Oryza sativa Japonica Group: one gene and its partners. The protein of the gene in region 1 interacts with the protein of each later gene in a pairwise test. Links are inferred from orthologs where the notes say so. Each region holds a gene or a part of one and is shown in the gene's direction. Other genes may lie near its edges. The genes, in order: probable protein phosphatase 2C 37, E3 ubiquitin-protein ligase BRE1-like 1 and protein rough sheath 2 homolog.

The links.
Region 2: the proteins of probable protein phosphatase 2C 37 (region 1) and E3 ubiquitin-protein ligase BRE1-like 1 interact in binary tests that used the Arabidopsis thaliana proteins (3 or more experiments, as listed by UniProt). The link is inferred for Oryza sativa Japonica Group from reciprocal best matches to the Arabidopsis thaliana genes AHG1 and HUB1.
Region 3: the proteins of probable protein phosphatase 2C 37 (region 1) and protein rough sheath 2 homolog interact in binary tests that used the Arabidopsis thaliana proteins (3 or more experiments, as listed by UniProt). The link is inferred for Oryza sativa Japonica Group from reciprocal best matches to the Arabidopsis thaliana genes AHG1 and AS1.

The regions. Positions count from the first base shown.
Region 1 is NC_089038.1:4,735,932-4,739,767, reverse strand, and holds the end of probable protein phosphatase 2C 37, read left to right. Parts: intron 1-2,458; coding exon 2,459-2,817; 3' UTR 2,818-3,243; downstream 3,244-3,836. UniProt on the Arabidopsis thaliana protein: Negative regulator of abscisic acid (ABA) responses during seed germination.
Region 2 is NC_089038.1:28,062,156-28,066,290, reverse strand, and holds the start of E3 ubiquitin-protein ligase BRE1-like 1, read left to right. Parts: upstream 1-1,206; 5' UTR 1,207-1,578; coding exon 1,579-1,701; intron 1,702-3,303; coding exon 3,304-3,465; intron 3,466-3,545; coding exon 3,546-3,633; intron 3,634-4,135. UniProt on the Arabidopsis thaliana protein: E3 ubiquitin-protein ligase that monoubiquitinates H2B to form H2BK143ub1. H2BK143ub1 gives a specific tag for epigenetic transcriptional activation and is also prerequisite for H3K4me and maybe H3K79me.
Region 3 is NC_089046.1:24,247,767-24,251,960, reverse strand, and holds the start of protein rough sheath 2 homolog, read left to right. Parts: upstream 1-1,261; 5' UTR 1,262-1,611; intron 1,612-4,194.

The DNA.
Region 1 (3,836 bases):
CACAATAAAACCAATTTCTGTCGCTCACGTGTTCGTCTTGGCGTGGGTTTTGATTTCACGCGGAAACATGTACTCAATGAGTAAATGTTTCGAAAAGAAGTCTGCTAAGAGCAGGTACAATAGTAGGCTATAAGCCAGCTGCAAACATATTTTAAGAAGATAAATAAGGAGAGAGAAGAGTAGCAGATTACAGATTTGTAGCCAGCTATAGCACAGACTCCAATACGCAGTGTGTGTATGACTGGTGGGACCAGGTATTAATAGTGTATTATGTAACTATTGTATAAATGAGCTATTAGATTGGCTATAGATAAATTGGAGCTAGTAGTTGGCTATAATATTAAACTTGCTCTAATAGAAGTAGTCAGGAGTTGTACTTGTGCACATAATCTGGAGTTAGGGAGACCAATTATATATGGTTGGTAATGCCTTGCCATTCTAGTTTAGTTGCTCTGGATATCATTTGTTTATTGTTCACTAGCCTTTTGGTTTTGCTTGATCATTGGGCTAAACCACTGAAGCTCCATTGGCAAGTCAGTTTCTAAGACGTGTCCAGTTGTTCTTAAACTATCATGTTGCCCCCAACGAGGTTGGGGGAAATGGAAATAAACAAAAGATCGGAAGGTAATACTATATCACAAAGGGTGGTTACATTTGTCGCTCTGCATGTTCTTCCAAACATAAAAAGGAACCTATTGCTCTGCATCTTTCCACCCCTTGACCAATCAAAAACTGCCTGGTGACAGAATCTAGGTCAAATAAGGATGTTCCTGCTTTAAGACTATGAGGAAAATAAGTATTATATGCAAGTTTCGTGGCAGGAAGGTTATGAATATGACAATAGCATGGTACCCTATGAATTTAAGGTTTTTTACACTTTAGTTACATAGGATATTTGCATCTGTCCGAAGGTACCAACTTTTTTTTGTGGTTTATACAATTAACTATGACAAAGATAAAAGGTACAATTCCAGCTTCTAATGAGCTTCTAGTAGATGTTACTTGGCAGTTTGTTGAGTTGATACACAGTCACATCACTGACCCCACCGGTTTGTGCCATATTATCTGGCTTATCAAGAAAATGACCATATGTACCCAGTCCATCTCACTTTAGCCATTAGGCCTAACATTTGGCAGTGCCTGTATGGTGTTATTTCATTTAGTTATATTATCAGATGTCTGAAAGAAGAAAGATGGATTAGACATAAAAGACACGCGTTCATCTCTGATTCACCATCTGTGAAAGTGCTAGCTCTTTTTATTAGTTGCTCTGATTGTAACCTAACCAACTGACTAAAAGAAATGATCTTCATAAATAAGTGGGACATATATGTTTGATTAGGCTAGTGACGTTGTCCTCTGTTGTATCCTAAGTTCCCAATAGTGATGTTACACCTTTTTTAATCTAGCTTTCAGGATTGACAAAGGAAATACCTTGGGTAGTAATAATTTGGACCTTTTGACAATAGAGAAAAGCTCAACTTGCACCATTGTAGAACCTTGTCAGTCTATTTGATTTCAAAACTATATAATTGTACTTCATATCGAATGTTTATAATCAAATAACATAGAAAATATTGTCTCTGCAGATCTGATGTTGTTTCTGATAAACCACTTTTTCTTAAAATAGTTTTTATCTGTCTATCTCACAAGCTCTGTTTTAAACTAGAGTTCAGTGGTAGTATGTTTATATATCAGGTTTCAAGTTGGAGAGGGTTGTATTATATTACAGACACACCATTTTGGTTGTAGGAATTGCCCATTTCACATATAGGAAGCACCACACTACTTATCACTTATTAAGTATTTTGAATCAATGAAGATTCCTACTTTATATAGTAGATTAATTAATATAATGATAATATAATTTATGTGCAGCAGAAGGAAGCAGTTTACTTGGCCCAAAAGGTCAAAGGAAATGTGTTCTTTCAAAATACTTATCTGTCCAACTTGTCATTATAGGCTTATACATGATACATCACCTTCCCTTGATATAGGCAGTACAAATTTCCCTACATTCTAGTAGTTACTGAGTGGTTATAGAATATTTTATGTTTCTGCATCTCACGTTTGCCCCTGTTTTGATGCTTAAGCTTTTCATTGCAAAAGGGCTGGTCCCTGTGTATCCTTTCATTGTAGCTTCAGAGGTATCTGTGGCTTAAATATTTGGATGGAGTTCTTGAAATGCCGTAGCCATAATAATGTTCTCGATTTCACTAGTTCGTTAGGTTTATATGTGTCATCTTCTCCTTTTTCTTTCATGAAACTAAATAGGATTCCTGAAAATACTATGTAATACCATGAATCTTCTCATTTACTAGAATTCAATGCAATACCATTTGAAATGTTTGAAAATTTATTTCCTTTCCTGTATATTACTTACTTTATGAGATTCTTTATGTAAACTAATTCAGTATCATGTATGTTACTCTCAATTATTCTAAATATGTTCACGCAGGAGACAAGTACCTAAAGCCTGAAGTCATATGTGAGCCAGACATCACCATAACCGTGAGGACCGTCGACGACGAATGCCTCATCCTCGCGAGCGATGGGATGTGGGATGTGATCTCAAACGAGACGGCCAGCGATGTCGCTCGACAATGCCTTGAAGACGGGAGCCCCACCAGTGGGCGTCGCGCAGCTAGGAGCGGCGAAGCCGCTTCCAGCAGCGCCGGTGCTCCGGCAGCAGCGGTAGGCCAAGAATCTGAGCCTCGCTGCTACCGTGCCGCTGCTCTCCTTGCGCGCCTCGCCCTCGGCAGGGAGAGTTCAGATAACATTAGTGTCGTTGTGATTGATCTGAAAGGAAGAGGGTAGGCAGAGATCATGGAGGTAGCCTGGTCTCAGATCACAATAAGAATTTATCTGGCTGCTTCATTTTCCTTCATGTTTTAGCCTTTGTTATGTTCAACCCTCACAAAAGCAAGCTCTAGTAGTGGTTGTTAGAACAAAGGGAGGAGTTGTTTCTGAAAGTTGGGGTGGTCTGAACTCTGAAATTTTCTTTGTTCTTTCTTTTTTCTTCTTTCAATTTTACTAGCTTCCTAGTAGTTCTTTGTCGGTTATGTTCACTGGGAAGAGTCCAGTGGAAAAAAAAAAAGGAGAATGGATGCAAACATTGCCATCCATAGAGATAAAAGGAGATAACAAAAAAGAAATTGCAAATATGCAAAATGTCATGAGACATTATGTACATTATTTATTATTATATTCCATTTTCTCATGGAGCCCTGTGGCTTGCAGTTACTGTTTTTTTGTGGATGCCTGTTAATCTATCTATGATCCAATCAAATGTAGTTACTGACAAATCAAAGTGGGACATGTATAGTCTCATTTCGCTTATGTTTATAAGCCATCTTATTAAAACTTAATTTTCAAGGTGTTTTTGTGATTTTTTTAATTATAGTCTTTTTTACAGTATGTGCTTATAAATCAGTAAGGATAAGTTATACCCATAAATTAATTTTTTTAGAATTTAAACTATTTTACTTTAGTTATTAGTAATTAATAAACGGTTCCATAAAGCATATATGCATAAGCGACAAGGAGAGTGACAAAAGACCACCTCCCCTTTTCAAACTCTTTGGTCTTTTAGGCAACTAGACGTACGTACAAAACCTAAACACGCCACATTCACATCACAATACTTGCGTGCTCGTATTACCTGTGCATGCTATAAGCATGCTTGAAATGTTTGGTGATGCCAAATATTCCTAGAGTAGGGGTAAGTGCAAACTCCCTGAATATGCAAGAATATACTTACAAAAATACGATGGTCCTAAGAACAGATGATAGTCCTTCTCTCCAACATTGGCTCTGTTCGGCGGCAGGTATGGCTC
Region 2 (4,135 bases), about 23 Mb from region 1:
CCAATACGACAATCACATACATCATGTGTGTGCATAGAGGACATGTTTTTTTTTTCATACCATCATGTTTCATCCCCTGTTCCCCACGTGGTATGCTTCTCTAGGACTACTTTTCCTCGACCAAATGGTTCATATATATGTATCTTTGTATTTCTGAACATCTTAGTTTTCATCTTGCCTCTCGACAGTTATCATGCTTTAACCTTCCGTTACCAACCTACCACATTAATGTTATGATCGACCGATATTATCACATGTAGAAACCAGAGTATTGCTCATGTCCGTCATGTGGTAAACACTGAAACCTTAACTAATAGTATTAAGCAATAGATTATTGGCTAACCTCTCTATATTCATGACCAATTCAACTATGGTAAAACAAAATTTAAAATGAAAAAGACCAAGACTACTTCAAAATAACCATATTAACCTTTTCTTAAAAACAAGCTATCTGAGTTAATTAACAAGAGTTGCAACCACATGAACCAACAACTTACTATTGCTTAGTAATATGACCTTGTATGGCACTGATAATCAAAGCTTTACATTGAAAATTGTAATACACTGGATTCACACCGTATAAAAAGAACTTCATATGAAAGACTTATCATGAAGATCAAATAATGCATGTCCTAGGTTCAGGTGCCAGTACTTGCTTATACGCTACTCCCTCCGTCCTATAATATAAGAGATTTTGACTTTTTACTTGCAGTGTTTAACCATTCGTCTTATTCAAAAATTTTTGGAATTTATTTATTTTGTTTATGACTTACTTTATTATCCAAAGTACTTTAAGCACAACTTTTCGTTTTCTATATTTGCACAAATTTTTTGAATAAGACGAGTGGTCAAACAGTACAAGCAAAAAAGTCAAAATCCCTTATATTATGGGACGGAGGGAGTACCTGTTAATTTTAAAAACAATATTTTATCATATATATAACAAAATAAATAATTTGTGACAGTAATCTATATTGAACATTGTCGTTCTCACCATTCTGGGCTGGCTGTTAAAAGGCCGACTGACGGAGGTCCAACCCTATGCCCGCTGGTGTCCACTGTCCACAGAAGCACGGAGTCCGTGCAGCGGGGCGAACAGCCGCCTCCGCCCGAGATAACTCACTCCGCCTCCCCACACGCATATTCTCTCTCCTCTCTGCGCCGTTCGCCTAGCTCTCCTCCCCCCCTTCTCTTCTTTCTCCTCACGGTTCTCACCTCCTCCCCCCTTGACAGTGCACACGCCAAAACCACCGCTAACTCCCACCTCTCGCCCACACCTCCCTGATCCGATCCCTTCCCCCCTACAACCCTAGCCGAATTCCGCCTCCGCCGCGATCCGCTCGTCCCGCGCTCCAATTCCGTCCTTCATCCGCTCTTTGTTTTTTTTGCGATTGTTTTTTTGGGTGCGATTGGTTTGGTGATCCGCGTGTTAGGGTTCGGGAGTCGCCGGGGCGGGGGTTTGGGTGGTGGATTGGACCGGTAGGTGGCCGGGAGGGTTGGCCCTTGTGGTTTCGGGGTTTGGTTTCACCCGCCGCATGTGGAGAATCGGAGGACCTGGGAGAGGTTAGGGTTAGGGTTATGGGGAGCACGGGGGAGCCCGACCGGAAGCGGCGGCTCAGTAGCTCCGTCGCGCCCGGCGGCGGGGCCCCTGTTTCTCCTGCCAAGCGGCTGGCGGTTGCACCCACCTCCGAAGATAAGAAGGTATTTGCGCATCTCGAGCCAGCTCTGTATCGTTTTGAGTTAATGTTTATGGTGGTACCGTGTTAGTACTGTTTGTTTGAGTTCATGTTTATGGTGGTAGTACTGTTTGATATGTTGTTGTATGATAGCTAGATGGTGGCATGGTGACTGATTTTTAGCTGTTTTGTTATGTCATGGAATCCATACATCCGCTAAAAGATCTATTGTGGACTGTTTGAGTATAGATCGATGAGTTTATTCTTGACAAGTGTTTGATGCTTTTGTACTTATGCTGAGCTCTATGCAATTGCAAGTCTTGCTGTGTTGTGGTCGTTAGTGGAAGAAGCCCTATGTATATTGCCTCCTGTCAGAGTGAAAACAAAAATACTAGTAGGAATGAGCTATGCATTATCCGTTTCGGATTCTGCAACTATTGCACGATTGTTTATGGTTCTTTAGAGCAATTGATGTATTCTATAATTATTACTCGGTGATAGATGGGAGGCTGACTTGTGAAATTGTTACTTGACTTACATTGCATTCTTGTTTTCCCGTGTTCATGATAGCAGAAAGTGGCAATTCCTTGGTAAACCTTCGTATTTTGAGTTTTTTAAATGATCTTAGTTTTTTGTGGCTACATTTATGGATATTGAAATGGTTAACTTTGGACTAGTAGCGGATCTAGAAGTTCTCTTGAGCTTGGGCAAACCTAAACGAATGGGCTAGATTATAGGATTAATAAGTATTATTTTTTTGTCAAAAGTAGATAATGGCTGTTGGAGAACTGTGTAGCTTTGGCCTTAGGCTGATGGCAGCAAACATTGGTGTGAGGCTGTGTCTTGACTCCTTTGTTGCTTGCATAGCTGATTTAGCCTCTATTAAAAGAAGCAGATTAAGCAGGGGCATTAAGTGGTAATCCACTGGCTAATACGGTGGAGCCCGGGCACCTGCCCGTGGTGGCCGGGCCCTAGCTCCGCTGCTGCTTTGGACAAATTTAATTTTCTTGCTGGCAATGATACCATAATGTGCCAATGCTTATTTACAATCATAGCGCCTTTTATTTTTCCATAGCATATGCTATTGTTTTTTGATATAGATAAAGGTCTAAATTGGGTCGTTAAATTAATATTAATGAAATTTGTCACCAAGTTACTACTGGTGACAACTGACAATTAATCGCTGTTACTACCGGTGACAACTGGCAATTATTCGCCTACTTTGTTATTTAATTTTACAAGAGGGAAATATGGGAAAAGATTGGTTAAATTTTGGGAGGGATAGGTCAAGGGTATAATGGCATGTTGGATGATACCTTTTATGCGTTTACTCATGTGTTACCGTATTTGGTCCAATATGGAATATCCATGCACAAAACCTTTTTTTTCTTTTGTCCTGTAGCATGAAATGAACCTATTTATCATGTTGGTGATATCATCAGTACGGCTCCTTTTGTGTTTATGTTCTGTTTTGGCTCTGCTCTTCTTCAAGTTGTAAATAAAAGATACTTGAATGTTGGTTCAGCTTTTCTTTTTATGCTTGAATTAGTGATTTCTCTTTGTTGCCAAACACATATCTTTAGTTTTGATTTCGCACACTGCCTACTTATATTGTCTTGTTTGGCAGCTCGATTTTACTGTACTCAAATACAAAAACCAAAAGCTCTCAGAGCAACTAGAAGCCCACAAGTTTGAGTATCGTGCTCTTGAAAATAAATTCGCTGGGCTAAAAGAGAAGCAGAGGACTCATAATGAGACACTTTCCTTGGTCAACAGTTCTTGGGAACAAGTAAGCTATTATTTTGTGCATGTTTTACCAAAAAAGACAGACTTTATAATGTTTCTTCCTGAATCCCTTTATTTGATCAGCTTGTGGCAGACCTGAAGTCAAGATCTTTTTGCAAAAGTGGATCTCCTAATTCCAGCCCTGGTTCAGGGCACAACAATGTACAAAAGGGTATGACTTCCTTTATTTTCTAAAAACATCCCAACTACATTTTCCTAGACAGGTTTTGAAATATGGGAGTGCCATCTACTCCCTCTGTCTCCTCATATAAGGGATTTTGACATTTTGCTTGCACTGTTTGACCATTCGTCTTATTCAAACATTTTTGGAATTAGTTTTTTTGTGACTTATTATCCAAAGTACTTTAAGCACAACTTTTCGTTTTTTATATTTGCACAAATTTTTTTGAATAAGATGAGTGGTCAAACAGTGCAAGCAAAATGTCAAAATCCCTTATATTATGGGACGGAGGGAGTATTTAAGTAGCAAATGATTATCACTATGGAAAAACCTTTTGATCTGGTCATCTTTGTGGTCCATTGCTCTTGTGGCAATTGTTTAAGATAATGCTGCTTGGTTGCAAAAACTGCACTTTTCAGATTATGTAATAAGTTATAAGTTATTTATGTTAATGAGCTTGATATGCATTTTAACGATGGCCGCTCCTATTCTT
Region 3 (4,194 bases), on another chromosome or scaffold:
TCATGATTACAATCATTTTAATGATTCCAAAGCCAATCAGATGATTGAAAGTGAAATTCAAACAATTCAAAATTTAAAAATTGATAACCGAAGTGATTAAAAGGGAATATTTGGACCTAAATTTAGTATTTGCTAAACAACCTATAAATCGTTGTATTTTAGAATGGAGGGAGGAGTTTTCATGTGAAATGTAGTATTATTTTAATACAATCAATTAAGTCTCAGTCTTCATTGACTACTATGAATGAATCAGACAAAAATAATTTATGTTCAAACTTCTATATTAGTGTTATTAGCGATTTTGAAAGACGATACTAGAAAATAGATTAAGAAGAAAAAAAATCTTAAAATCAACTTAAAATATAACCTTTTAAATTCAAATTTTGGCTAAGCTCAGTAAGTTAACATGTAGACGATGAGAGGATATAAAATTTTACATGGTTTTACTACTAAGCCGTTGGATTGCGATCGGACGACGACTCTCATGCATCTGGCTTGTTGAGCAGTGGAGAATTGGAGATTTTTTTACAAACATTGTACTGTGATCTGGGCTGGGTGGCAGCCAGATTGGTGGGAGTAGATTCCATTTCACCATGCATCTTCTCAAGAAAATTCCTAGCACAGTTTTGTGCTACAGCAGCAGCAAAAAAAATAATGCAGATGATGGCTCATCCATGCACGGCCATTGTACCAGCACAGTGTAAAGAAATAAAAATTGGCAACAAGAGGCAACCATCTCATCTCATCTGGACTCACCTAGAGTATGGATCATCTCCCCTGTCCATGCATGCATGCATGCTGCAAGAAAATGCATATACAAACATTCAGAAAATTATATTTGATATTGATATTCATTTGCCTCCCATCTCCCTCTCCAACAGTGCCATCTCTGATCACACCCACACTGTGAAGTGAAGTCAGTCATCTCCAAGAGAAGCAAAAGCAAATGCAAAGCCTTCACCTCTCACCTCACATCCATTGCTGCATGGACCATGGCACCAATGCACCATGCACATCTCCAGCATCTCCATCTCCATGAGTCCATGTGCATTCAAGCTTAGCAGCAGCAGCAGCAGCAGCTGTATGTGTGGGTGTGGCCATGGTGCTTTCTTTGCATTGCATTGCATTGCAATGCATGCACTGTTTGCTGCAGCTGCTGCAGCTGCAGTGACTAGTCTAGCTCTCTCCATCTCTTTCTTTCTCTGCTTCTTTGTTTCTTTCTCTGTCTATAAATACAGAGGCCTCTCCTTTCCACCCAGCCCTTTTCCTCTCCTCCTCCCGTCTTTTCCACCACCACCACCCTCGCGTGCCCTAATTTCTCGCTGCTCCTTGTCCCCCACCTCCTTTACTTGAGCTTGCTCACCACTGCCTCCATATACAGAGAGTCTTCTCTGTATTTCTCTCTCTCAGTGGGAGGCTCACAAGAATCTTTCAGCTCACATCTCACTGTCCTTGCCTTTCTCTAGCTAGGTACTACTACTGCTAGTACTAACCACTGCTCGTGTTCTTGGGACTTCTTCTTCTTCTTGTTCTTGTTCTTAAAATCATTTGGGGTTTTGAGCTCCAGGGAGGTCCAAGAACAGAGCAGCAGGATGGTGCAGTGGCGTTTCTGTAAGTGAATCCTACTACCTTCAGTTTCTTGAGCAGTTTCAGTAGTGTAGAGCTTATGATGTAATGCAGCAGGTGCCATGTGTGTTGTGCTCTGAAGAAAGCTGTTCTGTGGGTTGCTTTGTTACTATGTTTTTTGTGTTCATGTTTCTTGGTCTGTATGGCTCTACATGTTGGGTGTTTTTGGTCAGATTTTGTCTCTCCTATATCTGCTAGTCTGTTTTTCTGCAATAGATCTTTCTGTTAGATTTCTTGTCTTGTAGGGAAGTTGGTAGAGGATGTGCTCTCAGGGTAAGGATTGATTGTCAGTTTGCTTAGTTCTTTCTTTTGATTCACCAGTTGGGATTTAGTTAGTATGGATAGATAATCTGCTAGGTTGGGGTTAAATGTTGCCTCTGATATGGTGAGTGAAACTACTTTTGTGGATTTTGTATGGATTGTGGTTAGTGGGTGAAATTTGTGTTCTTGATTGAAACATCTACCTAGTTCTTGAATCTTCAATGGCAGCATTATTGTACTGATTGTTGTATGGTCCAATAATGTATTTAGGGGGATTCTACTTACTGCTAGTCTGCTCCCAGATATGAAGATTTGATTCTGTTTTTTTTCCTCTTCAAATGTTTCTTTTTTATAATTAGTTGAAATATGCTATTATCCAGAGTACTTTTGGGGGTTTATGGATTGTTTCCTCCTACTCAAGAGAGGTAAACAAAGTAACTTCTTCAGTACAGATTTTCCAGAGATGCCATTTCTTCTTCATCATTCCTCCTTTGATTACTTCATGATTGTTTTTACCTGCTTCTCAGCCCATATCCCTTGGAACATTCACTTCCATGAAAATTACCACCTAAGGAAAAAAAAACAAAATGGTCAGTAATTGAGAACTTGCTATATTAGTTACCTGAAAGATAGTAACACCCAGCAACACAGATCCATGTTTCAGTATACTTGTGGTATAGGAGTAGTATAGTATAGTATACCCCCACACTGCTTTCAATTTGTCAGTACTACTACTGTGGTAGTAACATCTAGCCAAGGAGGATACAACGGTCCAATCCAATCAGATCAACAAACAACAACACATTGATTTCTTTGGCCTACTACCATGCTTTCAACATTCTTTCATTTTGTTTCTTCTTGGTTAATGCTTGAATTTCTAGATGAAATGGATGGCACAAGACCACTCTTGAGGAATCCTAAGTTTCCTATAAATCCCTTTTATAAATACTTTTTTTTAGAAACAACTGTTTTGTCTCAACTTAAAAAAAATAAAATCAAAAGCATATTGCTTGCAAGAATTCAGAAGATGTTCTAGGTGAAATTCTTGCAGATTTTATTGCATTTCTCTCTCATGAGTCCTTCATTACAATTAGGTGAAAACTAAAGAGGTGCCATATTAAATAGAGTGAATTTATTGCAAATTAAATTGGTTTTCGATTTGTCAAATTTGCTCGAGACACCTAACCAACTAACCCTTATTGTCCAAATCAAAATTCCATCTCGTGCGCAATTAGCCCTGGCCATAGCTTTAATTCGTCATTAGTAGGCAACCAGTGGGGGCTCCAAATGGTCCTAGAATCATCACTTTTACTTTGGATTTGCTTCTGCCTCTTGCACATTCCCTTATTTTGTAGCCTTCTTGAGGGTATTAGGTAGGTGTTTTGGCAGATTATCTCCCCATTGATCAGCTCCCAATTAATGCCAGATGGTGACACTGCTAAAGATGGAAGACAAGCTTGCGAGAAAACAGTGGTAGCCTTATTATTTCCTCTCACAAGAATTGTGCCCACAACTTGTCCTGACATCTGTGAATTTGTCTGTATGTTGATAGTAATAGCTGGATGAATCATGGGTGCTTAACAATGCTCTTACTTACCAATAGTGTTTATGGTCGGTTGGCCCTTGCAACCTCCAAAGAACCAATTGGAGCAATTCAGCCTTCTCTTTTTTTTTTCTCTCTCTGTCATTTTCTGTGCTTTAACTGTTATCTGAACGAGTAGTTAACTGTATAATGTCAAAGGAATAATCTTGCACAAATTTAGTACCAATGTTGTTGTAGAGGAGCATGTATAAGCTTTATCTGTGGTACTGTGGTAGTAAGTAGGATGTGTAGAGTGTGCAGGTCACAGTTATGGATCACTGAACAAATAAATTAACTCCCCTGCTTTTGACACCCCAAACTGAAACATATAAATGCTGCAATGAATAAAGCAACTAACTTTACACTATCACAGCCCTAGCTTCTGTTCTGGCCAGTTTCTTGCTCCCTCCAGACGGTAATCACTTTACTCTGTATCAACATTTGCATTTAAACTGGTTGTGGTTGACTGGTTGTTTGACTAGATTAGCACAACTAGAAACCATGCCAAGCCATTCCTGATCTGCAGTGTGTCGTTTCTTTCTTCTGAACTGAAGATTTGATCTTTTCTGTTTGCAAAGTTCATGCTTACACACTTACTACACTTGAAATCTGTAAGATAAGTGCTCTACATTGAACTAAAAATACGTAAATTTTTTGTACATGATCTGATTTCTCATGTGCTTGTTTTCCTCTTAGCTAATGACTTTTATCTTTTCTGTTGTAGA